Macaca fascicularis: one gene and its partners. The protein of the gene in region 2 interacts with the protein of the main gene of each other region in a pairwise test. Links are inferred from orthologs where the notes say so. Each region holds a gene or a part of one and is shown on either strand. Other genes may lie near its edges.

Evidence for each region.
Region 1: the proteins of MID2 (region 2) and MFAP1 interact in binary tests that used the Homo sapiens proteins (3 or more experiments, as listed by UniProt). The two-hybrid records come from large-scale screens. The link is inferred for Macaca fascicularis from reciprocal best matches to the Homo sapiens genes MID2 and MFAP1.
Region 3: the proteins of MID2 (region 2) and LGALS8 interact in binary tests that used the Homo sapiens proteins (3 or more experiments, as listed by UniProt). The two-hybrid records come from large-scale screens. The link is inferred for Macaca fascicularis from reciprocal best matches to the Homo sapiens genes MID2 and LGALS8.
Region 4: the proteins of MID2 (region 2) and CEP57L1 interact in binary tests that used the Homo sapiens proteins (3 or more experiments, as listed by UniProt). The two-hybrid records come from large-scale screens. The link is inferred for Macaca fascicularis from reciprocal best matches to the Homo sapiens genes MID2 and CEP57L1.
Region 5: the proteins of MID2 (region 2) and CCDC120 interact in binary tests that used the Homo sapiens proteins (3 or more experiments, as listed by UniProt). The link is inferred for Macaca fascicularis from reciprocal best matches to the Homo sapiens genes MID2 and CCDC120.
Region 6: the proteins of MID2 (region 2) and UNC45A interact in binary tests that used the Homo sapiens proteins (3 or more experiments, as listed by UniProt). The two-hybrid records come from large-scale screens. The link is inferred for Macaca fascicularis from reciprocal best matches to the Homo sapiens genes MID2 and UNC45A.
Region 7: the proteins of MID2 (region 2) and GEM interact in binary tests that used the Homo sapiens proteins (3 or more experiments, as listed by UniProt). The link is inferred for Macaca fascicularis from reciprocal best matches to the Homo sapiens genes MID2 and GEM.

Annotation. Positions count from the first base shown.
Region 1 is NC_088381.1:20,398,085-20,401,584, reverse strand, and holds part of MFAP1 (microfibrillar-associated protein 1), read left to right. Parts: intron 1-439; coding exon 440-569; intron 570-828; coding exon 829-1,016; intron 1,017-2,158; coding exon 2,159-2,267; intron 2,268-2,688; coding exon 2,689-2,849; intron 2,850-3,500. UniProt on the Homo sapiens protein: Involved in pre-mRNA splicing as a component of the spliceosome.
Region 2 is NC_088395.1:114,479,273-114,482,772, reverse strand, and holds part of MID2 (probable E3 ubiquitin-protein ligase MID2), read right to left. Parts: intron 1,887-3,500; coding exon 1,759-1,886; intron 395-1,758; coding exon 161-394; intron 1-160. UniProt on the Homo sapiens protein: E3 ubiquitin ligase that plays a role in microtubule stabilization. Mediates the 'Lys-48'-linked polyubiquitination of LRRK2 to drive its localization to microtubules and its proteasomal degradation in neurons.
Region 3 is NC_088375.1:12,615,941-12,620,156, reverse strand, and holds the start of LGALS8 (galectin-8), read left to right. Parts: upstream 1-1,416; 5' UTR 1,417-1,490; intron 1,491-3,371; 5' UTR 3,372-3,470; coding exon 3,471-3,515; intron 3,516-4,216.
Region 4 is NC_088378.1:13,195,345-13,199,593, forward strand, and holds the start of CEP57L1 (centrosomal protein CEP57L1), read left to right. Parts: upstream 1-1,449; 5' UTR 1,450-1,530; intron 1,531-4,249. Other genes in the region: SESN1 (sestrin-1), read right to left, coding at 1-30. UniProt on the Homo sapiens protein: Centrosomal protein which may be required for microtubule attachment to centrosomes.
Region 5 is NC_088395.1:49,227,565-49,231,041, reverse strand, and holds the end of CCDC120 (coiled-coil domain-containing protein 120), read right to left. Parts: intron 3,274-3,477; coding exon 2,359-3,273; intron 1,908-2,358; coding exon 1,793-1,907; 3' UTR 501-1,792; downstream 1-500. UniProt on the Homo sapiens protein: Centriolar protein required for centriole subdistal appendage assembly and microtubule anchoring in interphase cells. Together with CCDC68, cooperate with subdistal appendage components ODF2, NIN and CEP170 for hierarchical subdistal appendage assembly.
Region 6 is NC_088381.1:75,486,933-75,490,930, forward strand, and holds the start of UNC45A (protein unc-45 homolog A), read left to right. Parts: upstream 1-1,198; 5' UTR 1,199-1,238; coding exon 1,239-1,289; intron 1,290-1,445; coding exon 1,446-1,607; intron 1,608-1,846; coding exon 1,847-1,883; intron 1,884-2,181; coding exon 2,182-2,357; intron 2,358-3,998.
Region 7 is NC_088382.1:103,912,500-103,916,784, reverse strand, and holds the start of GEM (GTP-binding protein GEM), read left to right. Parts: upstream 1-1,485; 5' UTR 1,486-1,781; intron 1,782-2,813; exon of another isoform or gene 2,814-2,978; intron 2,979-3,271; 5' UTR 3,272-3,280; coding exon 3,281-3,608; intron 3,609-4,285. UniProt on the Homo sapiens protein: Could be a regulatory protein, possibly participating in receptor-mediated signal transduction at the plasma membrane. Has guanine nucleotide-binding activity but undetectable intrinsic GTPase activity.

The DNA of each region.
Region 1 (3,500 bases), on a different chromosome or scaffold from region 2:
CTGCACCTCAGTTTCCCCCACCTCAATACTTTAATATTGGATGGACATGGTGGCTCACATCTGTAATCCCAGCACTTTGAGAGGCTAAGGCGGGCAGATTGCCTAAGTCCAGGAGTTGAAGACCAGCCTGGGCAACATGGTAAAACCCCGTCTCTACAAAAAATACAAAAATTAGTCATGTGTGCTGGCATGCCTATAGTCCCAGCTACTCAGGAGGCTGAGGTGGGAGGATCACTTGAGCCTGGGAGGCAGAGGTTGCAGTGAGCCAAGATCGCACCACTGCACTGCAGCCTGGGTGACAGAGCAAGACCCTGCCTCAAAAAAAAAGACTTCAGTATTAATGAAGGCAAACATAATGTACTGTGTGGCTGTGGAAATGCGGTTGATGCTAGTTCATTTTTATGACATTGGTGTTACATTTGGAGATACTGTTTATCAGATTGGCTCGACATCGGAAAATAGTGGAACCTGAAGTGGTAGGAGAGAGTGACTCAGAAGTAGAAGGAGATGCTTGGCGCATGGAACGAGAAGATAGCAGTGAAGAAGAGGAAGAGGAGATTGATGATGAGGTATGATAAAGGAACATGGGAAGTTTTTTTCTGGATATAAGAAAAAGTTGACGCCTGTGCTCATTTGTTGAAGCCTTAAAAACATGAGATCACTGCTTTTGGCAGGACTCTGATCATGTTCCTTGTTTGTTGGGATAGAACTAAAAATAGAATGGTACTAAGTTGTATTTTTTTACATTTGAATTTGTTGGGTTTGATGAGACTAAAACAAAAAGCCATAGGCCATTTGACTGACCGGCTTACATATATGACTTCACAGGAAATAGAACGGCGGCGTGGCATGATGCGTCAGCGAGCACAGGAGAGAAAAAATGAAGAGATGGAAGTCATGGAAGTGGAAGATGAGGGACGTTCTGGAGAGGAGTCAGAATCAGAGTCTGAGTATGAAGAGTACACAGACAGTGAAGATGAGATGGAGCCTCGCCTTAAGCCAGTCTTCATTCGAAAGTAAGTATCTCACGAGCCAGATCTGAATCCACTTAATTACCACTTTCCAGGCGTGGAAACAAAAGTCTGTTTTCTGTTGTGCTATTCTGAAATCTAAGCACTGAGTGAAAGTGCTTTTGCTAGTGCTGTAGCCTTGCCAGACGAGCTGCTGAGGAGTATCTTGGTGTTAGCAGAGAACCTGAGTTTGTTTTCACATCTCTTTTTTTCAGTTATAGAGCATATATCTGTCCAAGGCCTTTTTTTTTTCTTTCTTTCTTTCTGAGACGGAGTGTTGCTCTTGTTGCCCAGGCTGGAGTGCAATGGCGTCATGTCTGCTCACCACAACCTCCAACTCCCGATTTCAAGCGATTCACCTGCCTCAGCCTCCCTAGTAGCTGGGATTACAGGCATGCACCACAACGTCTGGCTAATTTTGTATTTTTAGTATAGAGGGGGTTTCACCATGTTGGTCAGGCTGGTCTCGAACTCCCGACCTCAGGTGATCCGCCCTCCTCAGCCTCCCAAAGTGCTGGGATTACAGGCATGAGCCCCCGCGCCCAGCCAAGGCCATATATTTTTAAACACAAAATTAAACTCAGCAAGCAGATTCCTATTCCTTTCTTGATGGCTAGAAATCCTCCTACTTACAGGCCAGCAGGTTCTTTGCTGTCCAGGCAGTTCTCAAAGATGAACATGATTTTAGTGCTCCAAAGACCTGGGATGATGGCTGGGCACAGTGGCTCATGCCTGTAATTCCAGCACTTTGGGAGGCTGAGGCAGGTGGATCACGAGGTCAGGAGTTCAAGACCAGCCTGGCCAAGATGGTGAAACCCCATCTCTACTAAAAATACAAAGAAATTAACCAGGTGTGGTGGCAGGCGCCTGTAATCCCAGCTACTCGGGAGGCTGAGGCAAAGAATTGCTTGAACCCAGGAGGCAGAGGTTGCAGTGAGCTGAGATCACACCACTGCACAGGAGACAGAGTGAGACTCCATCTCAAAAAAAAAAAAAAAAAGACCTGGGATGACTCAACGTTTTTTGCTCTTTGAAAATAATAGAGCCAAAGAGTTTGGTTTCGTCTCATTTGGATGGGACTAGGTCTAGGGGAACAAAGCACTCCACTCTAAGGACTTTAGGCAATTAACAGGACCTCTGTGATGCAGGAAGGACCGAGTGACAGTTCAAGAACGTGAAGCTGAAGCATTGAAACAGAAGGAGCTGGAGCAGGAAGCAAAACGCCTGGCAGAGGAGAGGCGCAAGTACACACTCAAGGTACTGGGGAGTTGGCCGGGCGCGGTGGCTCAAGCCTGTAATCCCAGCACTTTGGGAGGCTGAGGCGGGTGGATCACGAGGTCAGGAGATCGAGACTATCCTGGCTAACACGGTGAAACCCCGTCTCTACTAAAAATACAAAAAAAAAAACTAGTCGGGCGTGGTGGCGGGCGCCTGTAGTCTCAGCTACTCGGGAGGCTGAGGCGGGAGAATGGCATGAACCCGGGAGGCGGAGCTTGCAGTGAGCCGAGATCACGCCACTGCACTCCAGCCTGGGAGACACAGCGAGACTCCGTCTCAAAAAAAAAAAAAAAAAAAGGTACTGGGGAGTGGTTCCAAGGATTGAGTACAAGAAAATAGTGTAATCAGGTTTGTCTGAGGAGAGTAAGGAAGTCCAAGCCGAATTGTTCTCCCTATCCAGATTGTCGAAGAGGAAACCAAGAAAGAGCTGGAAGAGAACAAGCGATCCTTGGCTGCACTGGATGCACTCAATACTGATGATGAAAATGACGAGGAGGAATATGAGGCATGGAAAGTTCGGGAGCTAAAAAGAATCAAGAGGGACAGAGAAGATCGAGAAGCGTGAGTAAAAAGATGAGCCTAGAGTTAATGCTGCTAGTGGAACAGGTTTCTAGTAGGATAGCTCTGAGACTCATTACCTACTGTGAGTTCCATTCTGGCCATCTTCAGAGTTCTTGCTGCTGGGTGAGTTTCCTATAATTGGAATGTGAGTTTCACTTGTTACAGTGAAATCAGGGAAGAGAAACACACTTTGTCGATGTGTGTCCATAATAGAGTGCCAGCCAGTGCTCCCTTTAGTTTCCTAGTAGACACAAAAATTAGTAACTGTTAGCAGTTATCTCTTACTGTGTACAACCCAACCCACAATTGAGTGACTTGAAAAAACAATTACTTTTCACAATTTTGGAGGTTGGCTGAACAGTTCCTCTACTGATTTCACGTGGGCTCACTTATGTTGTATCCAGCTAGACAGTTGACTGGGCTAGAAACTTAAAAGGGCTTCACTCACATGTCTAGTAGTAGGTGGTGGCTATCAGTTAGGATGCCTCACTTATCCTTCATTGGGTTAGACTGCCTTCCTTACATAGTAGTCTCGGTACCATTCTAAGAGGGCAAGGTCTTCTGACACTTAGGTTCCAGAACTCATACATCAATCCTGCCACATATTGGTCAAAGCAAGTCACAAGGCCGACCTAGCTTTAAGCAGGTGGA
Region 2 (3,500 bases):
GGGTTCCATAAATGAATGAGAATGGCCCCAGTAACTGCCCAGCAAGGAAATATACAACTTGCTTGTTACCCATCAGTAAGGTCTTTGCAATGCTCTGGGGAGCTTACACTGTCTATGAAACACTATACTGAACAACCTAACATGTCTTACAAACACTTGCCTCGTGGCGCCCCGGCCAATCTTGAGCAGCTTACTGCTTCCTTACATTTCCTTATCTCTGGCCACAGGCCCCAACTACACCATGACTTACTGATGAAGTTAGCCTGGCCAGTGAATATGGTGTACTGAAGCTCATAGGAGCTGATGCTGAACTCATCATCCGAGATCCAGTGGACTGTAATGGTGTCATGGGAGGCAGTACAGAGTTCTTCTCGGATAGATGGTGGGTTTGGGGCTGTAAGGAAAGGTGGAAAAGAAAGTAAGGAAAGCATACTCTCTCTTCTGGAATTTTACAATTGTTACTCTTCCTGCCTAACCCAACATCTCTTGAAGAGAAGATTTTCTTAATAGAGAATCTTTAAATTGCATGAACCATGCAACCTGAAGCAAAATGCTAGGACCTCAAGCTCCTTAAAACCACTTTTCTACAACATAATATAAGCCTAAACTTTTCTACAACAAAAATATAAGCCTAAATTTTTGTGATGATTGCCCCAGCTGTCTAGTCTGCCTGCATAAACACTTATGTAGACGTTAAAGTGATTATATGGTTTTCTTAACATATGGTCTTCAACTTAATTTTTTTATTTCAAAATGAGTATATATATATATATTTAAATGGATTTTTGCTCTTGTTGCCCAGGCTGGAATGCAGTGGCACGATCTCGACTCACTGCAACCTCCGCCTCCTGGGTTCAAGTGATGATTACAGGTGCCCACCACCATGCCTGGCTAATTTTTGTATTTTTAGTAGAGGCAGGGTTTCGCCATGTTGGCCAGGCTGGTCTCGAACTCCTGACTTCAGGTGATCCACCCACCTCGGCCTCCCAAAGTGCTGGGATTACAGGCGTGAGCCACCGTGCCCGGCCCCATTACATATTTTTAGCTGTATAGTCAAGTGCAAAATGATGAGTTCCCTCATCTACAAAATAGGGGTGATAATTAACTTATAGATTTGTTGTAAGGATTAAAGATATAAAATTAATATACAGTGTCTAGAATAAAGTAGATGTTCAATAAGGGGCAGGTATTTAATGTAGTAACAAAACAGCTGCAAAAATAGTTTGTGTATTTTTTTTCATGAAATGATCATTAAACAATCCTGAAAGTAGCCAGCATTTTCAACAGGCTGGTTGTGTCCCTCATTTTCTAAAATTGTCTGAGAGCCAGATATTTCTTACATTTTTCTTCCTGATCTACTAACTCCTAATTTTCCTTAAAACCATTTTGGTAGTACTTGTACCCACATAAGGCATTCTCTGACATTCCCTAATTGTCACCTGAGTTCTACTCTCATAACAAGCAACAATACATTACTGTTAGATTCATAAGGACAAATCTATCAGCAAATTTCTTGTGTTTTACTCTTAAGTATAGATGGTATACCCATTTTGATCCTAGAAATAGTTAACAAATCATAAATCATCTTTTTTTCTGTTACATGAACTAAAATATATTCTGTCTGAAAAGATACATGCATCATTTTAAAGATTATAAAATATGTAAATTATAAATATTGTCTTTTTCAAATTATTTTTAAGTAAAAGCATACCAGAAGAAAAAAAATTAAATGGGAAGGAAAGCACAGTATTTTCACACCTGTTAAATAATCTAACCCCTCTAGCAGTTTCTTTTCTCTGGAAAAATCTAAAGCAAAGTTTTCAAAGGCATCATTAAAATTGATGTCTGGAATCAGAACTTGAGAAGATGCAGTTGCCATAGCGACCCTGAAAAAGAGAAAAGTACATCAATATACATCAAAATAGGTTGCAACCTTCACCCAGTTTTTGATTTCTGATTTAACAAGGTGAAAATAAATGACTTGTAAGCCTTGATTTATTTAGTGAAAATATCATATCTGTGCCTTTCCAATGGGAACCATTTAAATTTTAATCATCAGGAACCAATTAAGAGTTATACCATATTTATTCACATATGTTCACCCCTCAAACACACTCCCCCATCCAGTCTTAATTCTGAGAAGTAAATACAGAATTTTTTCCCCTCTGCATCATTTTCCATCTGGCAGGCAGCATCAAAACTAGACCTTTAAAGACTTGGTAAAAACAGTTGGAGATTTTTCTTTTTTGTTTATGCTAGTCAGCAAGTCAGCATGCTAGGTTAACACCTTCCCTAAATATATCATTTATGTGATTTTTTTTTTTTTGAGATGGAGTCTTGCTGTGTCACCCAGGTTGCAGTGCAGTGGCACCATCTCAGCTTACTGCAATCTCTGCCTCTCCGACCCCCTTCCAGATTCAAGCGATTCTCATATCTCAGCCTCCCTAGCTGGCGCCCACCACCACGTCCAGCTAATTTTTGTATTTTTAGTAGAGACGGGATTTTGCCATGTTGGCCAGGCTGGTCTCAAACTCCTGACCTCAAGTGATCCACCCATTTTGGCCTCCCAAAGTGCTGGAATTACAGGCATGAGCCACTGCACCTGACCTATGTGATCTTTTATAGCATTTATATTTCACTTTATTATCCTCCGATTGTATAGTGCTATGATAGTGTTATCTTCCCAACTAATTCTAAGAGTCTCAAGAGCAGGGTTCATATTTTGTACCTCTTAATATCTTCCATGGCCCTAACACAGCATTTGACACATAGTGAAAAAATAATTGTTGAATGAACAATTGAATGACTAACAACAAAATAACTGCTAACATTTATCGAGTGCTTAGTATATACAATGCTCTCTACATTCACTTTACACACATTATCTAATTTACTCTTTACCATAACCCTATGTAGTAGATGTTATTTCAATTTTGCAAATGAGAAAGTTGACACATTGAAATGCTAAGTAATTTGTCCAAGATCACACAACCAGTAAGAGTCAGAAATGTAATTGAGCCCATGTCCATCTGATACTAAATTCCATACCCTTCACCATTTAGAGTGTTCTTCAAAAAATTGAGGTATATTTTACATACTTCAGCACTTCTTAGCCATCACTACACATCAGGATTATCTGGAGGAGCTTTTGCCAAAATATACATGTTTTAGTCCTGTGCAAGATCTTCTAAATCAGAGCCAATGAAGATCCTTGAACATGTAAATGATGGTGAGGAAAGAAAAATTCATTTGGCAACAATATGTAGGTTAGAGGAGAGAGAAAAGGCATTGAATGTAGGAAGACCAGAGAGGAAACTTTTACGGTGAGCTAGTTGTAAGGGAATGAGAAACTGAAAAATACATATCCTCATGTACATATACCCTGCTGTACATCTACCAACAACATCTCTTATTGTTTCTGAAAATAGAGATGTTTCAGGGATAAGCTACAGGCAAAATGAAAGACTAGCTCAGTACAATCATAAGGTCTCACGTGAATA
Region 3 (4,216 bases), on a different chromosome or scaffold from region 2:
AGAATTGTGAAGATATTCAGTTGCTCCTGACTTTATCAATAATCTAACACTTCAACCTAACATTGATATCTATTTTATGCAAAGCATTACACTATGCACTGGGGAATGTATAAGACAAGTTCATTCTCAAACTACAGTCGAGTTGGACAGATAAAACACACGACACACACCAGAAGATAACTATAAATCCAAGGCAGTGTATGTCAAGGGTAAATTCACTTATTCAAATTGGATCTTGAGAAGTGTATCTAACTTGGAAAATGGGTAAGGAGGAGAGAAAAGCAACAGTGAATCAGAACATGAGTTCCCAGTTATGGGACTTGTAATGAATTCCTCGATTAAAATAAAAAATAATGAAAACAAAAGCCAAGGAGGAGAAAGCCCATGTTGGTGACACTAAAATATATCTTTCCAAACAAATGTGGATAAAAGTTAAGTAGAGAAGATGAGAACTTTGAGGTCCCTAACACAAAACAAACAATAAGCAGCAAGCCATTCCAAGTGGCTGACATGACTTTGTTTCAAACTTTATTTATATTTCTGGCTGGTGTGTTTACAGCCAATAGGTCAAACTATCAGTGTAGAGCCCTGAGAAGTTGGGTATTTACGGAGCATCTAATACGCACAGAATTGTGCTCCATACTGCTTAAACTGTTCCCTAAGTGTCCAATTTGGAGAAAACACCCACGCGCAGGGTAACTAGCGAGTGACGCGGAGTGGCTACGAGTCCATGTTATCGCTAACGGATGGGGCGCTTTGAGCTGGGCACAGTCCAAGGTACTGAACCCTTCCCCCAGTTTCGCCTACATCCAGAGGTGTGCACCTTCAAAAAGCAGTGCCTTCAGGTCTCTTCTGGCACTGTCTGGACTCCGTTCCGAGGCAGACGAGGAAGCTGAGAAAACCCTGGCATTGACCCCGTGGACCTGGGCGCCCCGGGAAGGCCAGCGCTGGGTCCAGGCAGGCGGGGCCTGTGCGGTGATCACCCCGGGTCCCGGAAAGTCCCAGCCCTGAGCGCCCTCCTAGACCTGGAGGCCTGGAACAGCCAAGTGGACGTCGGCCCACTTGCTGCGGAAGAGAAAGCCTTTCTCTTCTTTCCTTCCCATTTTCCTACCACCTTCCACCCACTCCGCCTTCGGGGCAAAGGCAGCCAGATCCACCCAGGACACATTCTTTGTCCTTATCTTCTGTGCTCTCCCACAGCAAGCCAGTCGCGGTCCAAGGCCCCAGAGGCTGTGCAGGAGGCCGAGCTGGGTGGCGATCAGTGGCGGGTCCCTGTCCAAAATCCAGCAGAGCCGCCAGGGACGCTCCATACACAGACGGGGCGGCGCGGGTAGGGTGGGGAGACCACAGCGGGAGAGCCAGGAAGTGAAGGAGGACTGACTCCTGTCGCTTCCCGTAGCCGCCCACGGACGCCCCAGCCGGGAACCGGACGGCACCTAGCGGCTGACGGACAACTTGCTCCGTGGAGCGCCTGAAACACCAGTCCTTGGGTGAGTAGCGCGACCCCCGGCCACTGGGACAGTCGCTAGGGGGGTGGCTGCTCTGAGGGCCTCGCCAGTGGAGGATGGCATTCGGATGTCACGGCTCCTAAATCACAATTTGATGGGTGGGACAGTGTCCATTCCACCCCAACCCGCAGGTCCTCACCGCGGCAGAGCCGGGGCTGGGTGGCGGGGACGCTGCCTCTGCAGGCGAGGCTGCTCCGGGGCGTAAGGGGTTATCAGGAGTCGCGGCCTTTCTTGTACATCCCTGGCTGGAGTCAGGCTGTTTGTCCTGGGGTGTCTCCTCGCTGCAAATCCACCGCACCTGTGCTGCTTTCTACCCTGTTCCCTCCTAACCTGAGGCCTAGAGCCACCTTCAAGTGGAGGAATCTGGGGAAGCTTCCGTCCCGGAATTTGTAGTGACATTGCTTTCCCTGCCTCTAACACGCGCTTTAGGATGCCGAGTCATTTGACTGCAGTATTAAACATTACAAAGGGCAAGTCATGTGACTTCCTTTGACCGTACGTGAAACTTAAGTGATGGCTTCTTGTGATGCATACGAAGTGGTCATGCTGGCGGGACCTGTCCCTGGGGATACTTCAGGGGTTGCGTGATTTAATGCAAGCCGATGATTTAAATTGGGTCACTCGCTGGTTATCACACATGTGTATGGCAACTCGGCATCCATTCTTTTTGCTCTTGTTCTTGCTTCCTGTATTGAGTCACGGAGCCAGAGTTTTGAGGTTTTGACTAACGAATTAAGTTAATGACATAGACTGGGGTTATATTTAGGTGGTAAACCAAGAGGGGTACAGTTTTTTTCTTAATAAAGAAAAAGTAATAGATTTGATCGGTGTGTATTGTTGGTGTGCGGTATAATGACAATTGCTGGAAGTAAAATACAGGAAGCTCTAGTTTCGTTTCCCCTTTAGTTCTGCTTAAAGTCATCGAGTTTTTCCTAGAGTTATTAAATGTAGTGTCCATGGGTGCTTTTATCTTAAAAAATGTGGCTAATGCTTTCCAACACTCCCCTGCCCTGTGATTTTTTTTTTTTAAAGCAGCAGAGAAAATTGTATCTTAATAGTATTAAAATTATTGGATTTCCACACCTTGATTTGTTTAAATTGGAGGAAGAAGAGCAATTCTTTTTATTCACAATAATAATAGCTAACATAGCACTTACTCTTTCACTATTTTATTAACTCAATCCTCAGAACAAACCAATGATGTGAATACTGTAATTATTGTCCTTTTATGGAAATGAAAAGTGAAATGAATACCTCTGATAATTGTACAGGACTGTTTGATTAGTAATGGCCATTAATTAATTAGTTTGTTTTTTTGAGATGGAGCCTCGTTCTGTTGCCCAGGCTGGAGTGCAGTGGCACGATCTTGACTCACTTCAACCTCCACCTCCCAGGTTTAAGCAATTCTCCTGTCTCAGCCTCCTGAGTAGCTGGGACTGCAGGTGCATGCCACCACATCTGGCTAATTTTTGTATTTTTAGTAGAGATGGGATTTCACCATATTGTTCAGGCTGGTCTCGAACTCCTGACCTCAGGTGATCCACCCGCCTTGGCCTCCCAAAGTGCTGGGATTACAGGCGTGAGCCACCATGCCTGGCCTATTTTAGTATTTTTAATAATAAATTCCATGTTAGAAATTTTCTACTGATGTATTTTCTAAGTCAGTATTTCCTACACTCACAATCCAAAATTGTTTAGTATATGAGCACACTGGTAAGAATGGGAGGCAGATCTTTGATTGTAATAACATTCTATTATTTGGTAAATATCAGTAACATAATGTATAATTTAAATTTTAAAATAGGATATGAAGAAAAATGCTGCATGCTTACTTTTCTTTTCCTCTGTTTTTACTTTACACAGGGCCAGTGCCTCAGTTTCAATCCAGGTAACCTTTAAATGAAACTGGCCTAAAATCTCAGGTCATACACAGAAGAGACTCCAACAAGAAGCTGGAAAAGGATGATGTTGTCATTAAACAACCTACAGAATATCATCTATAACCCGGTAACTGAGTTCTAGAAAATAACGTTTTACCTATGCCAGGATTGAGAGCAGATCCAATACAATATTAATTATCCATTGGGAGACAGGGCAAAAATAAAAGCCAGCGAACATATTTAAAGCACCTACTATGTAATAGGGATGGTGGTGGGCGCTGACTACAAAACAGCTGTCGTCCTCTAGTGGAGGAAGAAGTCACGATGGCAATATGACGTGATGAAACAGTGTTATAAACAGGGAACGTCTGGGTAGAGTGGAGGGAATGCCAACTTTTGGTAATGGGAGGAGGCTCAGCTAATCATAAATTTTAGTTTTTAAAGGCAAATGGATTTCTTACTCTACAAGTTTTTCATTTTCTTTTTTAATTAGAGCTGTCCATGAGAAGTTAGTGTCTCGATCTTTCCCTCAGCCTTTCAAATACTGCTTGGCACTTGAGCAGGGAAAATGTCAAAAGCCAGTGGGGAGACGGAGAGTGAGAAGTAGTAAAGGGTCTCGTGCAGTTCAGGCTGGTCCTAGAACCCCTGAATGACTGTAATTGCTGGAAATTGCCCTGTAATCCTAAGCAGTAAAGAGCTTGTTTTAGTTTTATGTGGTGGTGAGAATCTTTAGGAATGTCTAGTTTCCACTTATTTGAAGCTGAATCCTGAATTGAGGTCTGGGAAAGGACAGCCACTTTTTTAGTAAACCCCCTAGAAGATTCTTGG
Region 4 (4,249 bases), on a different chromosome or scaffold from region 2:
CCATCTCACTTCATTCTCTCCTTCAGCCATGACAATAGTTTTTCCTTTGCGGTCTTCAGTTACCTTTCAGCATGTCCCCAAAAATCACTCTGTGTTTTTAAAATGAAAAATGTAAAAATAAAATCAGAGAAATCAAATCGTCATGAAAACACACATATGGGTAACATTTGGAACCACTGGTGTCTTCAGCCGATCTACAAGCTAGATCACCCTCTCACCCTCTCCTTGTACACTAAAGGGCAGTCTTCCTTCTGGAAAACAAAGTTGGAAAGTTGCAACCTTGCAGCTCTGGCTTTGGTGGACGGAGAATTTCGGGGAAGCGTTCTCCTCCGTCTCGCGGGGTCAGCGGATATCCTCACGTTGTGGAGCTGTCAAATCCGTGCTCTGCCCCAAAAGGCTGGTAACAGTTGAACGCCCTCCAGCCATTCGGGGCTTTTTTGTCTGTGCAGCCACCGGGTTCTCTCGAGCTTTCCCACCCCGCCCCTCCTCCGACACCAGTCCCCGCCCTCCGCAGCTCCTCCCAGCGCCTCAGCAGCCGGCCGGGCGCCGGCAGGGAAGGCTCGCCGAACCCTGGCCCACTGGCCGCAGCGGCCGGAGGCTTTGGCGCTGCTGGAGGGCGGCAGTCTCGGGCAGCCGCTGTCTCGGCGGGCGGCGACGAAAAAAAGCGTCCCCAGCCCCGCCAATTCCGGACCCCCGGGAAGACGCTACTTCTCCGATCCCTGCACCCTCGCCCACCACCGCCGAGCCAGAGGGCATAGGGCGGCCCTGGCAATCCTCGAGCGCAGGGCTGGGCCGCGGAGCTGGCGGGGCGGCGGGGCCCAAGGCGCAAAGCCCGCCCTTCGCCCAGCCCCATCGGTGGGGATCAGCCCAGAGGGCGGGAGCAGGGAGGGGAGACGGGGTCCTCACCCCCAGCCCCTCCCCTTTCTCCGCCCGGCACAAACCGGGAGCCACCCCGGCCCCAGCGCCTTCTTCCCCGCCCAGGCAGACGCGACCCGCCGAGGCAAAGCCATTGGAAAAAGCCCCGCCCTCTGGCAGGCTACCTCCGGACCCCCAGTGCGCCGCGCGCGGCTGCCAACCGCTGCCGGCTGCTACGCATGCGTGACTTAGAACAGGGCACAAGCGCCTCCGGAGGCTCTAAGCTTGCGCCCTGGGGCGGTTTCCGTTCCCGGATGTTTGGAGTGTGTCCTGGAGAAGGGGAAGGAAAAAGTAAGGCGTAGAAGTACACTGAGACTTCGTCACACACAAAACAAGCACGACAAAGAAAAAGGGCACGAAGGGACTCCTGGACGAAATTGAGTCTACATTTAAGATCACCGTAAAAGTAGTGACGGCCTCTTTATTACTCCAAACCCCAGATTTAAGTCGGTGGGACGTCTTCGCGTTGACTTGTGGGGAATGTAGTTTTGATGCTGCCGGCGCGTTTTGTTTGCGACAGAAACTACAATCCCCAGAGGCCACTGCGACGTCGCCTGTGGCTGCCCGCGAACCAACGGTTAGCGGTGGCAGGGGCTGACTGAGAGTGTCTGCTTGGTAAGCACTGTAGGCTGGGTTGTCACCTTTCCTTGACAGGGTTTTTCCTTCCTCCATTTCCTCTGGGATTTTGGAGACGAAGCCATCTAGCGTGGCCTCCCTTAGTCCAAGGATTTTTCCAGTGGCTTGCGTGGGAAGGACTAGTCCAGCTGCCCAAGCGCGGGGTGTGGTGGGTGAGGCGAGGATTTAGGGATCCTGATCCCGAGGGTCGCAGGGAGCGGCCTAAGAAGGAAGGATGCTGTGGAAACTGGAGCTTCGGGCTGCTGCTTCTGCTTCCACCCTTTTCTGTGGGCAGGCGCGGGATGGATTTGGGATCTCTGCGCATTTGCACCTTTGTTTGCCTTTGCTTAGGGATGTGCTGGGCTTTATTTGCTTTTAGAAAGTCATTATTTGAGAAAAGTCGAGGTTTGAACGGCCATCAGTGGACTGATAATCGGTGTAGATTTTAATTCTTTATGTTGCAGAATTGCATTACATTAAATTCTAAAACTTTCATCTTGCTAGGCACTGAATATACAACAATGAGAAAGACAGTCTTATCCAGTTAAGAGGAACCAGTTGTTAGACATACAGTTACAATACTATATGATATCACTGGGATGCCTAGAAGGAGATCACTTAGCCCAGTCTTGGAAAGCCAGGGAAATCTTCATCCCAGCGGAAATGAAGATCAAAAGAACAGCATATGCTAAGGCCCAGAGCGAGAGATAGGGTACTTTCAGGAAACGTCAGTAAGCCAAATCATACATACTTGGCGGTGTGGGGTGGGAAGGGAAGGGTGCTTTTTGTGTATTGATGTACTTTGAAGCTACAAAGAGACACATATTGTGAATTCTTTACATTGTTTCTGTAAGTGAGCTATTTTTGAATAGATGCATAGTTCTGATGAATTGGTCGAATTTCAAAAGCCTGTTACATTCTAACACTTCTAGTTTGAATCCGAATTTTGAAAAGGGAATAACTTATGAATGTGATTGAGAAAACAAAACAAAACCATTCCGTTTTTATCTCCTTTTTGGGATGATCATCCTCTATCCAGCCCATAAAGGGTAGGGTAGTTTCTTAAGGCTGGGTGCCTTTTTATGCTGTAGTTAAATATGATCTCACGTGTACCCATGGCTTCACCAACACTTATGACTCTCAAATGAATAGCTCCATTCAGCTTCACCTCTCAGCTTTCACATATCTATCTCTTGGATATTTCTTCTTGGATATCTCAAAAGCATCTCAAACTCAACATTCCTAAAATCAAATACATAGTTATCTGTTACAAATCTGATTCTTTTTCAGTGTTCCTTATTTCAGCAAAGGACACTACCATCCATCTACTTGTGAAAATTTGAAAGCCAAACATTATTCTTTATTTCTTCTTGCCCTTCATACTTTTATGGCTAAATTATTACCAAGTTCTGCCAATCTTATCTCCCAAAATATCCTTCAAATATATTTTTCTCTCCACCTGTCTTCAAACTGTGGTAATCTCTCAAGACCACTACAGTAGCAGTTATTCACAATGACCCTCCTCCATTAGTTCTCCATTATAGCTACCAGAATGATTTTTTTGAAACTGCAGATCTGATCAGATTTTCTCTTGGTTAAAACTATTCAGTGGTGTCCTGCTACTGTTAAAATAAAGGCAAAACTCCTTTATAAAGCCTGACATCATCTGGTACTCTTTCAGACTCACTTCATATACTGCTCTCCAGATCAACCATACAGACCATTTTTCACTCATTGGTTCTCATATTCCATTTCACCCACACATTTACTCAACAAATTTCTGTTGAGTCCCTTTTATATAACAGGACATTGAGGATACAGCACTGACCACAATATATAAAAATTCTTACTGTCATAGAGCTTACATTCTACTGAGAAGAGATAGTAAATAAATATGTAAAACATTTAGTAAATGAAATGAAGACAAATGCAGTGGAGAATAAAACAACTGGGAAGGGGAATGGGGAGTGTCAGGATGTGAGGGGCTAGGTTTACTTTTAAATAAAGTGGTTAGAAAAGACCTAATCCAGAAGGGGACAATTGAGGAGATATGAAGTAGGGGAGGGAATAAACCATATAGATGCCTGGGCAAATAGCATTCTAATGAAGAGAGTTAGTGCAAAGGCAGGAGCCTGAGTGCACATTTGAGAAATAGCAAGAAGGCTAGTGTGGCTGGAACACAATGAGTACAAAGAGAATAACATGAGGTCACAGAGAAAGGAAGTAATGGTGGGAGAACATGTACGTGACTGAAAGGACTAACATTTTTAATTGAGTTGGGAAAGCATTGGAGAGTTTTGTGCAGATGAGGGCATGATCTGACTTTTTTAAAATGACTACTTTTCTTTCTCTCTCTCTCTCTTTCTTTTTCTCTCTCTCTTCGATGGAGTTTTGCTCTTGTTGCCCAGGCTGGAGTGCAATGGCACAATCTTGGCTCACTGCAACCTCCACCTCCCAAGTTTAAGCAATTCTTCATCCTTGGCCTCCCAAGTAGCTGGGATTACAGGCATGCACCACCATACCTGGCTAATTTTGTATTTTTAGTAGAGACAGGGTTTCACCATGTTGGTCAGGCTGGTCTCGAATTCCTGACCTCAAGTGATCCACCCACCTCAGCCTTGCAAAGTGCTGGATTACAGACATGAGCCACCGTGCCTGGCCTCTTTCTTTTTGCCTGAGGCAGAGTCTCACTGTGTCACCCAGGCTGCAGTGAAGTCAT
Region 5 (3,477 bases), about 65 Mb from region 2:
TTATTGTTTGAGGTTGGCTAGAAATCTGAGTGCAGACAGGCAAAGAAGTTGCCCCACATCACAAAGCAAGTAAAGTCAAAACAGATGACACTGCCAGGCGCGGTGGCTCAAGCCTGTAATCCCAGCACTTTGGGAGGCCGAGGCGGGCGGATCACAAGGTCAGGAGATCGAGACCACAGTGAAACCCCGTCTCTACTAAAAATACAAAAAATTAGCCGGGCGCGGTGGCGGGCGCCTGTAGTCCTAGCTACTCAGGAGGCTGAGGCAGGAGAATGGTGTGAACCCAGGAGGCGGAGCTTGCAGTGAGCCGAGATCGCGCCACTGCACTCCAGCCTGGGCAACAGCGTGAGACTCCGTCTCAAAAAAAAAAAAAAAACAGATGACACTATCACAGGCTATTCCCAAGGTATGTTTTTTTCCTGTAAAAATATATTATCTGGTCTTGACTAGAGGTGTGGGCCCTCAAGGTGAGGCAGATAAGAGCAGCAGCAACACATGGGTTCAGTTTACACATTTATTATACAAATCCCCTTCCAGTGTGGATAATGTCTTGGGCCCAGATCCACTGGTATAAAAAGAAAAGTTTAACACCAGGAAAAGGGGGTAGGGGAACCCCCAGCTCCGAAAGTCACAGACAGGTATCATAGAAAACACAATTTGTGTGGGTTTGCTTAAAAAGTGGTGGATGGGGGCTGGGTGCAGTGGTTCACGGCTGTAATCCCAGTGCTTTGGGAGGCCAATGTGGGCAGATCATGAGGTCAAGAGTTCAAGACCAACCTGGCCAATATGGTGAAACTTTGTCTCTACTAAGAATACAAAAATTAGCTGGGTGTGGTGGCGTGTGCCTGTAATCCCAGCTACTCAGGAGGATGAGGCAGGAGAACCCAGGAGGCGGAGGTTGCAGCGAGCTGAGATTGTGCCACTGCACTCCAGCCTGGCGACAGAGCAAGACTCCGTCTCGAGGAAAAGAAAAAAAAAGGGGGGGGGGTGGATGGAAGGAAAGCCAAGGAAGGTGTGAGTGGTGAGCGGCCCGTGGCCCGCAGCCTGTAGCCAGACCTCACCTGAGGATTTTACTGGCATCTACCGGTGCCAGGTCTGGTAGATGCCAGGTTCAACCCCCACAGGATCCCAGGACACGGCACACCTGATGGCTCTGCCCTTTGCCCCTCCTGTGGGGCCTCCTGACTGGGGGTGGTCAGGGCAGAGGCCATGGGCACAGACGGGGTTGGACTCCTTCAGGCATCCCACCCAGACTGCAGTCCTTCCAAGCGTGGGCAGAGAGCCCAATGCCCCAACAACTGCCCTGGCGATGCATGGCAGGGATTTCTGTTCACACCAGAGTCTCCTGGCTGCCCTAAATGGCCCTGAGACCCGATATGGTCCATTTTATGGAGGGGGTTACTGAATGGAACCCGGTTGGGCATGGGAACAGGAATGAACCCAACCAGATGAGATCAAGTTTCCCTTTTATAAAACGTCTAGTGTTGGAGGAAGACAGTGAATACCTAAGTCACAACTGTAAACATAAATGGATGAAGGGGCTTGGGGTCCCCATGACATTATCCTCTCTCTTTTAAGCTGGCTGAGGGCCCCCAGTCCCCAGCACAGTGTGAGAGAAGAAGCAGGGTGTCAGACACCTTCCTGGGCCTATGGGGAGCCAGGGGCCTTGGAAGATTAGGTTGGCGCACTGCACTCAGGACAGAGCAACCACACCCCAGGGCCCAGCGAGGTCAGCTATGTGCTCCCCAGATTGGAATCGTGCCCAAGCCAACAAGGGACATATCAGAAGGGGTCAGACCAGTGTCCCCGGGGTCTGGGTGTCAGAACTGGAGGACTGCTCCCCCTCTAGCGTCAGGTCACTTAAACGAGCGCTCAGCTCCGGGGGATACAGGAAGTCCGCGTAGTATCTTTAGAAGGGGTAGCAGGAATCCGGAGGACAGGGCGGGGAAGACAAGAAGAGGAAAAGACAGACAAGACACATAAAAAGAAAGGAAAAGAGGCTCGTTAAAGAGGTGGAGGCAGGCACAGGACAGCACTTTCAGGCTCCAGGGCATGGAGAAACAAGGAAGAAAACGGCAAGGGGCATGAGATGTCCCTTCCTCCCAGCACCCTGGCTTCAAGGCTCATCTTCAGCCTATAACTTGATAAAGAATTGCTGCTACCAGTGCCCAAGATCCCCTCCACCAGGACCCCATGGACTAATGCAGGTCATGTGCAGTAGTGACCCTGTGCCATCACGGCAGCTAGTTTCCTTATGGTCCAATGCATTAGCTATCATGACTAGCCACTCCCTGGCCTGGATATCTTCGCCATCTGCCTTAAGAGACCCCTACCCATCAGTAAAAGCACCCCCCATACCTGCCAGAGACAGGGGGCGCCGTGAAACTCCTCGAGTGTGGGAGTGGCGCTTGGCTGGGGGCCCCGTACAGCGCCTGGCCCACCTCATAGCAGCGGGCATGGAGGAAGGGTGGGTGTGGCGGGCCCACGGAAGGGAGCACAGGCCGGCGCTGGGGCCCCGCGGCCAGTCCCGAGTTCCGGATGTACCAGTCCCGCAGCCCCTCCAGAGCCAGGTTCTTGTGGCCACTTCGTTCACCAGCCGAGGGGATACGGCTGGGTGGGGGCATCCACAGCAGAGGGTTTGGATGCACCTCAGGACCCTCGGCAACCTCTGGGGGCAGGCCACAGGGCTTGGTGCGGGTGGCACGGGTGTGGGGGTCCTTGGTGCGGAGGAGGGGGCTGTTGCTGTCAGCTGCATACACAGGTGGTGGGCCGGGGAGCATGGTGAGGAGCCCATCCCGGCGGGAGAGGGGTCCTGGGACCTCAGCGGCAGGCAGCAGCTCCCCCCAGCCTACTCCACCACCACTGCGGGGCAGACCCCGGTCCAAGGAATAGTCCAAGAGGAAGTCCCCACACACAGGTGGGAGCCGGGGGGCACCTCGGGAGGCAGGGGCAGCTGAGCTAGGCCGGGCGGCCCGGGGAGGGTCTGGGGGGCCTGCTGTGCGGGAGGAGAAGGCAGAGGTTGGTTGGGGGCGCTCATACAGCACCTCACTGCTCTTGCAGACTGGGGGGCCAGAGGCAGAGGGAGCCAGAGGGGTGGGCGGGGAGCCAGCTCCCCCACCAGCAGCCCGGTCCACCAGCAGGGCCTCAGAGCTGTTGCTGCGGCGGGTGCGAGCTACGAAGAGGGAGGCGCGATCGGAGGCAGGGTCCGCCCGGGGGAAGCCCATCTGGGAGTCCTGGCTGCCGGACCACTGACGAGAATGAAGGCCTTCAGGTCTGAGGTGAGAGGCGAGGGTCATGGGAATAGGGTCAGAAAAATCAGGCAGAAGGCGTGCAGTGCCCTCCCTACCCCACCCCTTTCTGAGCCTTCACTTTCACATCTCCAAATGGGCCCAGGGTTGGAAGCTGTGTGTATAAAGGTGGCAGGTAGTGACATGTAAAGGGCGGCTGAGGTTCTGTCCTAGGCTAGGGGGTCGGGGG
Region 6 (3,998 bases), on a different chromosome or scaffold from region 2:
CGTGGGGCTACTGCTGCTCTTCAGCTGGGTGACCCTTGTCCAGTCAACCTCTCTCTCAGGTACAGCACTTACCCCTGTGGCCCACCTGCCTATCGTGCTATGGGCTATTCCTGGGAACTGGAACTGATGGGGATGAATGGAAGGGCGCCTGCTCTTCCGGTAGGGGCTGATCTCTTTTACTCTCCAGTAGGGGTGGAGTGGGCTGTGGAAAGATCCCTCCTGCTTATTTCTAGCCCCCCAACCTCTCTCTTCAGCTGTGGTCCACCACCCTCACTTGTGCCAGACCACCCGGGATGTCAATGGCCACCACTACCCTGGTTTCTTTTGCCCTCGTCTCTCTGATTCTCCAGAGGAAGCCTACTGCTGCCACCTGCAGGCTGCAGGGGGCTCCTGCTGCACCCGGGCTGAATTTGAGGCCCTGTACCAAGTCAACCTGTCCGCTCTTCCGCCCCCGCCCATCCTCAGGTGAGATCTCCAACCCCGGAGCCACTGGAACATCGTCAGGGTGTTCCAATATCTGGGGCTCTGTTCCTAAATTATGGGGTGGGAGGCTTGTAACTTACAGACTAGTGAAGGGACAGACCGCAACAGAAAATCATGTAGATCATGATTACAATTACAAGGGAGAAGTTCAGGGGGCTGTGCAAGCGGGTAATAGGGAGCCATACTGAATCTGCCCATGGGTGGCTCTAGGATGAGCTCCTAAATTCGTATGCAAATGTGTGTATGTAAGACTACACTTATTTGGGGATGGAGTCCCGAGCTTTCTCCGGACTCCCAGGGGTTCTGTACTCCCACAGAGCGCAGCAGCCAGAGCGCGGCCAGGGCCGGGATCCAGATACTTTTTTCTCTCCCGCAGGGGCCCAGGACAACTCCTAGTGCTGGGCCTCTACAGCCTACTGGTTGTGACCCTGATGACCGCAGACCTTGTGCACTTCTGCTGCGATCGGGGCCGGGGTCGGGGCTGGAGCCACCGCAGGCCTCCCTCCGGGTCCTCCGCCGTGAACTCCTGCAGGTCTCCGCGGGGACAGCTTAGGCGCGCCCGGAGCTTGCCTGCACCTGCGATCCAGAGTCGAGTGCCCCGCCCCTGCCCGGGCGCGCTAACTCTTTAGCCCTGCCCCTCTCTGACTCCACCTCCGACGCAAGAGTGGGGCGGGGCAGCTCCCGGCAGCGTCCGGAGCCAGACTCGTCCCGCCCCAGAGACTGCGCCTGCGCGGGCACGGGACAACCTCTCCGCGATGACTGTGAGTGGTCCAGGGACCCCCGAGCCCCGGCCGGCCACCTCCGGGGTGCGTACCCAATCCCCGCGCCATCACCCCTTCGCACCCGCCCTGACCATCCCAGGCCTCCTTCTCCCCATCCATGAGGCTCGTGCCTATCCCTCCTCTTCTCCAGGGCTCTGCCCCGAACCCCCTCCGACGTTTCCGCCCCCTTTCTCTCTACAGGCCAGCTCAGTGGAGCAGCTGCGGAAAGAGGGCAACGAGCTGTTCAAATGTGGAGACTACGAGGGCGCCCTGGGGGCCTACACTCAGGCCCTGGGTCTGGACGCGACGCCCCAGGACCAGGCCATTCTGCACCGGAACCGGGCCGCCTGCCACCTCAAGCTGGTGAGGGAGCCTGGCGCTCTTCCCCTTGCCTGCCGGGCCCCGGTTCGCCCATCTCAGCTGATGCTTGGGCCCCAGCTGGGAATTCAAGCTCCCAGGCCATCCCCGCTTGCCAGATGTCTTTTGCACCTCAGCGTGAAGGGGGATCGGGTGACCTTGGACAGCGAGAGTACCCCTGCTGCCTGGTTAGTGCCCCGAAAGGGAGATGACCATTCTTTCAGGCTGCTGTCTTTCTCTTACAGGAAGATTACGACAAAGCAGAAACAGAGGCATCCAAAGGTAGGGGAATGGTGGACCCTCGTGTGGAGCTGTAGGGCTTCTGTGGTGGGCAAGGACTCTGGGACCGCTGCACCATCACATTCTCCTCCTTTGGCCCCAGAGACACATCTGCCTTCTTTCTTTCCCACTGCCTCGGGCCTTTCCTTTTCTGCAGCTACCCTCACCTTTTCTGAGGCTGAAGCACCGAGCCCCACATTCGTCCCCCTACCTTCTGGCCTTTCCTCGAGATCTTTCCCTACTGCTCTTGCCTGGAGATGGTGGCCTCATGGGTGCTGACAGCGCTCCTGTTTGTGCTCAGCCATTGAAAAGGATGGTGGGGATGTCAAAGCACTCTACCGGCGGAGCCAAGCCCTAGAGAAGCTGGGCCGCCTCGACCAGGCTGTCCTTGACCTGCAGAGATGTGTGAGTTTGGAGCCCAAGAACAAAGTTTTCCAGGAGGCCTTGCGGAACATCGGGGGCCAGATTCAGGAGAAGGTATGTGAGTGACCCAGAGAGGTGGAAGCTTGACTGGTGGTGGTGAAGGGATCTGGGCCAGGGGTGCAGACACAGTTCTCCAGACAAGAGATACTGATGGCAAGTGAACATATAGAATTCTGGTTAACCTTGCCTGTGGCCAGGGAAAAGCAAATTAAGATGACAGCGTGTTACTGTTGATTTGGAGGTCTGTTTGGCAGACATTTAAAAGTTTGTATACTTTTCAAGAAGGAGAGAGGCAGACACATCAGTGGTGAGGCTGGTACAGCTCTTTTGGAGAGTACTTTAGCATATCAAATTTGAAATGAGCGTATCTTTTGATCCCATATGTTTACTTCTTGCTGTTTCTCTCACAGAAACCTTGCCCACATGCACAAGTAGACATGTGTATGTTTATTTCAGCCTTTTTTGTAGTAAAAGCTTGGAACTTGCCTCAATGCCCAGCCATAGAGGAATGGCTGAATAAATTGGGTAATGTCCTTACTAGAGACTCTTACATAGTTACTGAGAATGGGTAGATACACACATATTGAAATGGAAAGCTCTGGGACACTTGTTGAATAAACAAAGCAAAATAGGCAGGGCATGCTGTCTCATGCCTGTAATCCCAGTGCTTTGGGAGGCCAAGACGGGACGATCACTTGAGGCTAGGAGTTTGACACCAGCCTGGGCAGCATAGTGAGACCCTGTTGCTACCAAAACTTAAAAAGTTAGCTGGGTGTGTTGGCACACCCTTGTAGTCCCAGCTACTTGTGAGGCTGAGGCAGGAGAATCCTTTGAGCCCTGGATTTTGCAGTTACAGTGAGCTATGATTGTGTCACTGCACTCCAGCCTGGATGACAGAGTGAGGCCCTGTCTCTTTTGAAAAAGAAAAGAAGAAAAATATATGATAACACATATAGTATTATATCATTTATGTTAATGATCCCCTGCATAGCAAAATAATGCTATATTTTTTCTGTGGGTACACTTGGGTATATAAATACAAAGGAAAATATTTAATTTAATTTATTTATGTATTTATTTATTTATTTTTTGAAACAGAGTCTTGCTGTGTTGCCCAGGCTGGAGTGCAGTGGCGTGATCTCAGCTCACTGCAACCTCTGCCTCCCAGGTTCAAGCAATTCTCCTGCCTCAGCCCCCCAAGTAGCTGGGACTGGGACTACAGGGGCGTGCCACCACGCCCAGCTAAGTTTTTGTACTTTTAATAGAGACAAGGTTTCACTGTGTTGGCCAGGATGGTCTGGAGCCCCTGACCTCGTGATCTGCCCACCTCGGCCTCCCAAAGTGCTGGGATTACAGGTGTGAGCCACTGCACCCAGCTGAAAATATTTTATTTTTAAAATTTATTTTTATTTTTATTTTTTTGTTTATGTATTTTGAGACAGGGTCTCACTCTGTCACCCATGCTGGAGTACAACCTCTGCCTCCCAGGCTCAAGCGATCCTCCCACCTCAGCCTCCCAAGTAGCTGGGACAATGCGTGTCACCACGCTCGCCTAATTTTTATATTTTTGGTAGAGACAGGGTTTTACTGTGTTGCCCAGGTAGCTGGTCTTGAGCTCCTGGGCTCAAGGGATCTACCCACCTCAGCCTCCCAACTTGCTGGGATTATAGGTGTGAGCCATGGCACCGGGCCAAA
Region 7 (4,285 bases), on a different chromosome or scaffold from region 2:
TCTCTCTAGGTCTCAGGTTTCTTATGTATAAGATAAGTAGGAGATTGGGGCCACAAACCTGAGACTAAAGGAATTCTAAGTTTTCATTACTCTGTGTATTCCACCTTTGCTAGCTTGGGACCTAGCAGGTCTCAGCAGCTGGTCATGTAGCTAATTTCCAAAGCAGATAAATGCCTGCAGGATAACTGTGAATCGACTCTAATCACAGCAGAGTCCACTGCTTCAATAGATGCTGGTGCCTTTGGCTGCTTCCCGGAGCCACCAGCCAACCCAGAGATGAAGCTGGCTGAAAAAGCGGACGAGTATGTTGGAGAGGCCAGCATCATCTCTAAACACAGCATCTGGGAAATACCCATGTCCCCGGAAAGAGGTCATTGAAATCCTTCACTTAGTGGTGCAGTGCAGAGACTCAGGCAAACCAGGCTTTGAGTCCTGACCCTGCCACTTATACCAGCAGTATGACCTTGGGCAAGTTGTCTGGCCCTATGTCATCTTCCTCCTCCATACAATGAGGGTAGCAATTGAGTCACCTTGCAGGAGTGTAGTAAGGATTAAGGTCCCAGGAGGCCTAACAGTACCTACTAAGCAGAGGTCCTCAGAGGTACATAGTAAATGGTAGTAGTAGTTATTATCCTGTGCCCTTTGTTCACAGGAGTCTCTCATAGGGGCCGTGGGCTCAGTGCTCCTCCCCATGGCCAGGCTGTATTGGCTCATGCCCAAGGTGTAGCCTTGCCAGGGAGCCTGGTACAGAGATGCTGGTGATTGAGATGCTGATTAAATTCCCTGATTGAGAAGCCTCAGCATTCTGGCCCAGAGCAGCAGGGCCAACAACATTTAGCACAATCTGCTTGGATCCTCAATTAAATTGTTTTCCCAAACTGCCCTTTTCAAGGTCTTGTCCTCTTTCCTCACCTCTTTCTGGCCCCTTCTCTCTGGGTCCTTGCCAGAGAAGGGAAACAAAGCTTTGTGGGGCTCCATCTGCTTCCCCCTATCCAGAGAGAAGGTGACAGAGGCTGTCTTCCTTGCAGAAGATGCGGTTAAAACAAGCCTTGGCCATTCAAGGTGGCTGCAGTCTCATCCTGGAGGCTAAAGTCTCTGCGCATTCCAGGTTGATCCCTGTTTTCTTGGCAAAGCTGAGCTCTCAACTCAAACCTGCTTCTCCCTCCATCCTTTATCCCGCTAGCTTGCAAGTGTTTTGCTGGGAAGGACGATTAAGTGGCACTTAGAGTATTTTTCCATTTTCCTGTGTTCACCTGGTAAAAAAGAAAATAAAACAAAATAAAGGAGGCCCAGGATTGAACTGTCATTATTTTTTAAATGGAGAGAGAAGGGGTCATGTGACTGCGAGTAACCGATTTAGCCAAGTGGCTGCAACTCCGAGTTTGCTGCAGAGCCGCCCCCTCCCGGCGGGGGCGCTGACGTCACGGAAAAGCCCCGCGGCGGGTCGGCTGGGCTAGTTATAAACCGCCCGGCCGCGGCGGCTGTAGGCGGCGGGCACGGACGGCGGGCACAGCGCAGCACTACCCGCTCCTTGGCCCGGGTATCCCAGCGCAGACCCACGCGATACGCTGACGCCCCGACGCCGATCCGGCCGAGCCAAGTAAGGGGGGCGGCCCGGGACGGAGAAGGGAGAGAGTGGGAGTTTCCCAGCCCGCAGAACTTTCGAAGTTGAGAAAAGAACCCCTGAAACGTGCGTTCTGTGCTGGGATTTTCTGGTGGGGGTCAGAGCTTCAAGTGCAAAGGATGTCGCTTCTCATCAGCAGGTTCCTTAGTTCAATTCGGTAGGACAGTCACCTCCTCCTACAGATCGAGTGGTCAGAGAGGGCAGCCCTTAATGATGCTTTATGTATTTGTTGTTTGAATGTAAGTCTGCCAACTGAGGTGCTGCTTTTGAGACTAAAAAACCAGCTGGTGGTCCTGGTTAGTGGCGAGGTGTTGGGGTATGGAGTGTGGGGGTGAGGGTGGGAAAGCACTGTTTGTGCATCTTGCTGATTGCAATGTGCCTACTTACACTTCGTCGCCAGTAGCCAGAAAAACAGACCTTCCGGCTAGGGGAGGCAGTCTGCAAAGGGAAAGTTGTAGCGAAGTTGTTGAATATCATTTAGGGTAGTCTTCAGCCTTCTGATTTGCTTCAAGAAGGGGGGCTGAGAATGGTGGCTCAGGCCTGTGGTCTCAGCACTTTGGGAAGCCGAGGCAGGAGGATCACTTGACCCCAGGAGTTGGAGACCAGCCTGGGCAACATTGTGAGACCACCGTCTCTACCAAAAAATAAAAATAAAAAAACTAGTGGGCGTGGTGGTGCAGGTCTGTAGTCCCAGCTCCTTGGGAGGCTGAAGTGGAGTTGGAGGCTACAGTGAGCTGTGATCCTGCCACTACACTCCAGCCTGGGTGACAGAGCAAGACTCTGTCTCAAGAAAGGAATCTGAGTTGAATTAAAGAACTCTTGAGAATGGACGTGGTTTGTTAAGAATGAGGCACTTTCTGTGCAAATTTGCTAGGTCTGAACATGAGCAGATCATTTCTCTGCCAGGGTGTCTAGGTTTGGAGCTGAGATGCTTTAAAAGTGGCATCTGTGGATAAGAGGGCACAGCTGAGGCATAAACTTTAAGCAGAAAATTTCCCCTCTACCCCCAATAATGGCAGGTGGATGCTCTCCAGGCAGCTGGAGAGCATCAAAGCAACTTTACTAAACATGGAAGTTCCAATAAGTGCCTGTCCAGTCCAGCCAGGGTTGCGGTGGGGAGGGGTGGGGGTGATGTCATTGCCACGTGTTTCCCACTGAGGCACAAAACCTGCTGGACACTGGTGCAATTAAGAGCCAAGTTTAGACAAGAGCAGCTAACCTGACCAGTTGGTCCCCAGCAACATTAACTTGTTGCTTTTCAAGTCATCTCTGGAGGCTGCTGGTTCTTTCCAGCTGCCTTTGTGCCAGCTCCGAGTGCAGCTCTTCTTTGATCCAGGTCTGCTTTGAGGAAGGGGTAAGCCCATGGGCAGTGGTTGATGTTAACAGTATTATTTTTTCCATGCAAATGACAGTCTGCCTGAGGAGCTGGTTACTGACAGTGTGGGCAGTGTGTGTGTATGTGTGTGTGTGTCCAGTTGAAAGCCTGTCTTGTTGGGCTTTGGAGACTGTTTAATTGGTGTTTTTTATGTTAGGGATACTTGCTTCTCATCTCATCTAATATAATATTACTGATGACTGACCATGTATTTGAGCAGAGCTCTCACTCATGCTTACTAATGCTGCCATCTTGGCTGCTTTGCTCCCCAGGACCCAACGATGACTCTGAATGTCACCATGCGCCAGGGCACTGTGGGCATGCAGCCGCAGCAGCAGCGCTGGAGCATCCCAGCCGATGGCAGGCATCTGATGGTCCAGAAAGAGCCCCACCAGTACAGCCACCGAAACCGCCATTCTGCTGCCCCTGAGGACCACTGCCGCCGAAGCTGGTCCTCTGACTCCACAGACTCAGTCATCTCCTCTGAGTCAGGGAACACCTACTACCGAGTGGTGCTCATAGGGGAGCAGGGGGTGGGCAAGTCCACTCTGGCCAACATCTTTGCAGGTGTGCATGACAGCATGGACAGCGACTGCGAGGTGCTGGGAGGTAGGTGTCCCAGCCCCAGTGGGCTTCTTTCCATCAGGCGTGGCCCAGGAAGAAAGAGCGAAGGTGGGTGGCTTATTTACCTGCAGAGTTGGGAGCTAAGGTTTATGCATTTTGGACAATTGATGGGGGAGCTGAGTCTCCAGAAAAGCCCAAGCACAGGCTCTCAGGGCAATAAAATGAAAAAGCTTGTAGACAGGACCAAAATCTATTGAACCTGGGCCAGAAAGGGAATTTTTCAGATTTCAATTCTAAATGGGTGGGGGAAGGCTGATTAGAGAGGGCATAGCCAGAGGGTCAGCGCCCCACCTCTGACTTCTGCTGACTCTGACTTGAACATTCTTCCCGGAATTCAGTATAGGCACAGCCTTTTTCCATGGTTATACCTAAAACAAGCCAGTTGGAAAAGCTGTTAGGATGGCTTGATCAGTTTGCTTCTACCAATATTAGAAACTTTTGTGGGTGTAAAATAGTTCAAAATCTGTATTTGAAATAGTATAATAATTTTTTAAAATGTGAAGTATAACAATGATAATTTGTATAGAGTCTGACAGCTTTTCAAGACAATTTTCCCTGTACAATTTTATTTCATCTATTTATTGATTGGAACCTGGCCTATTTCCAAAACTGTTTTGAGGTGACATTATCTCAAAATGCATGTATTCTTCAGCTAGGGGTAA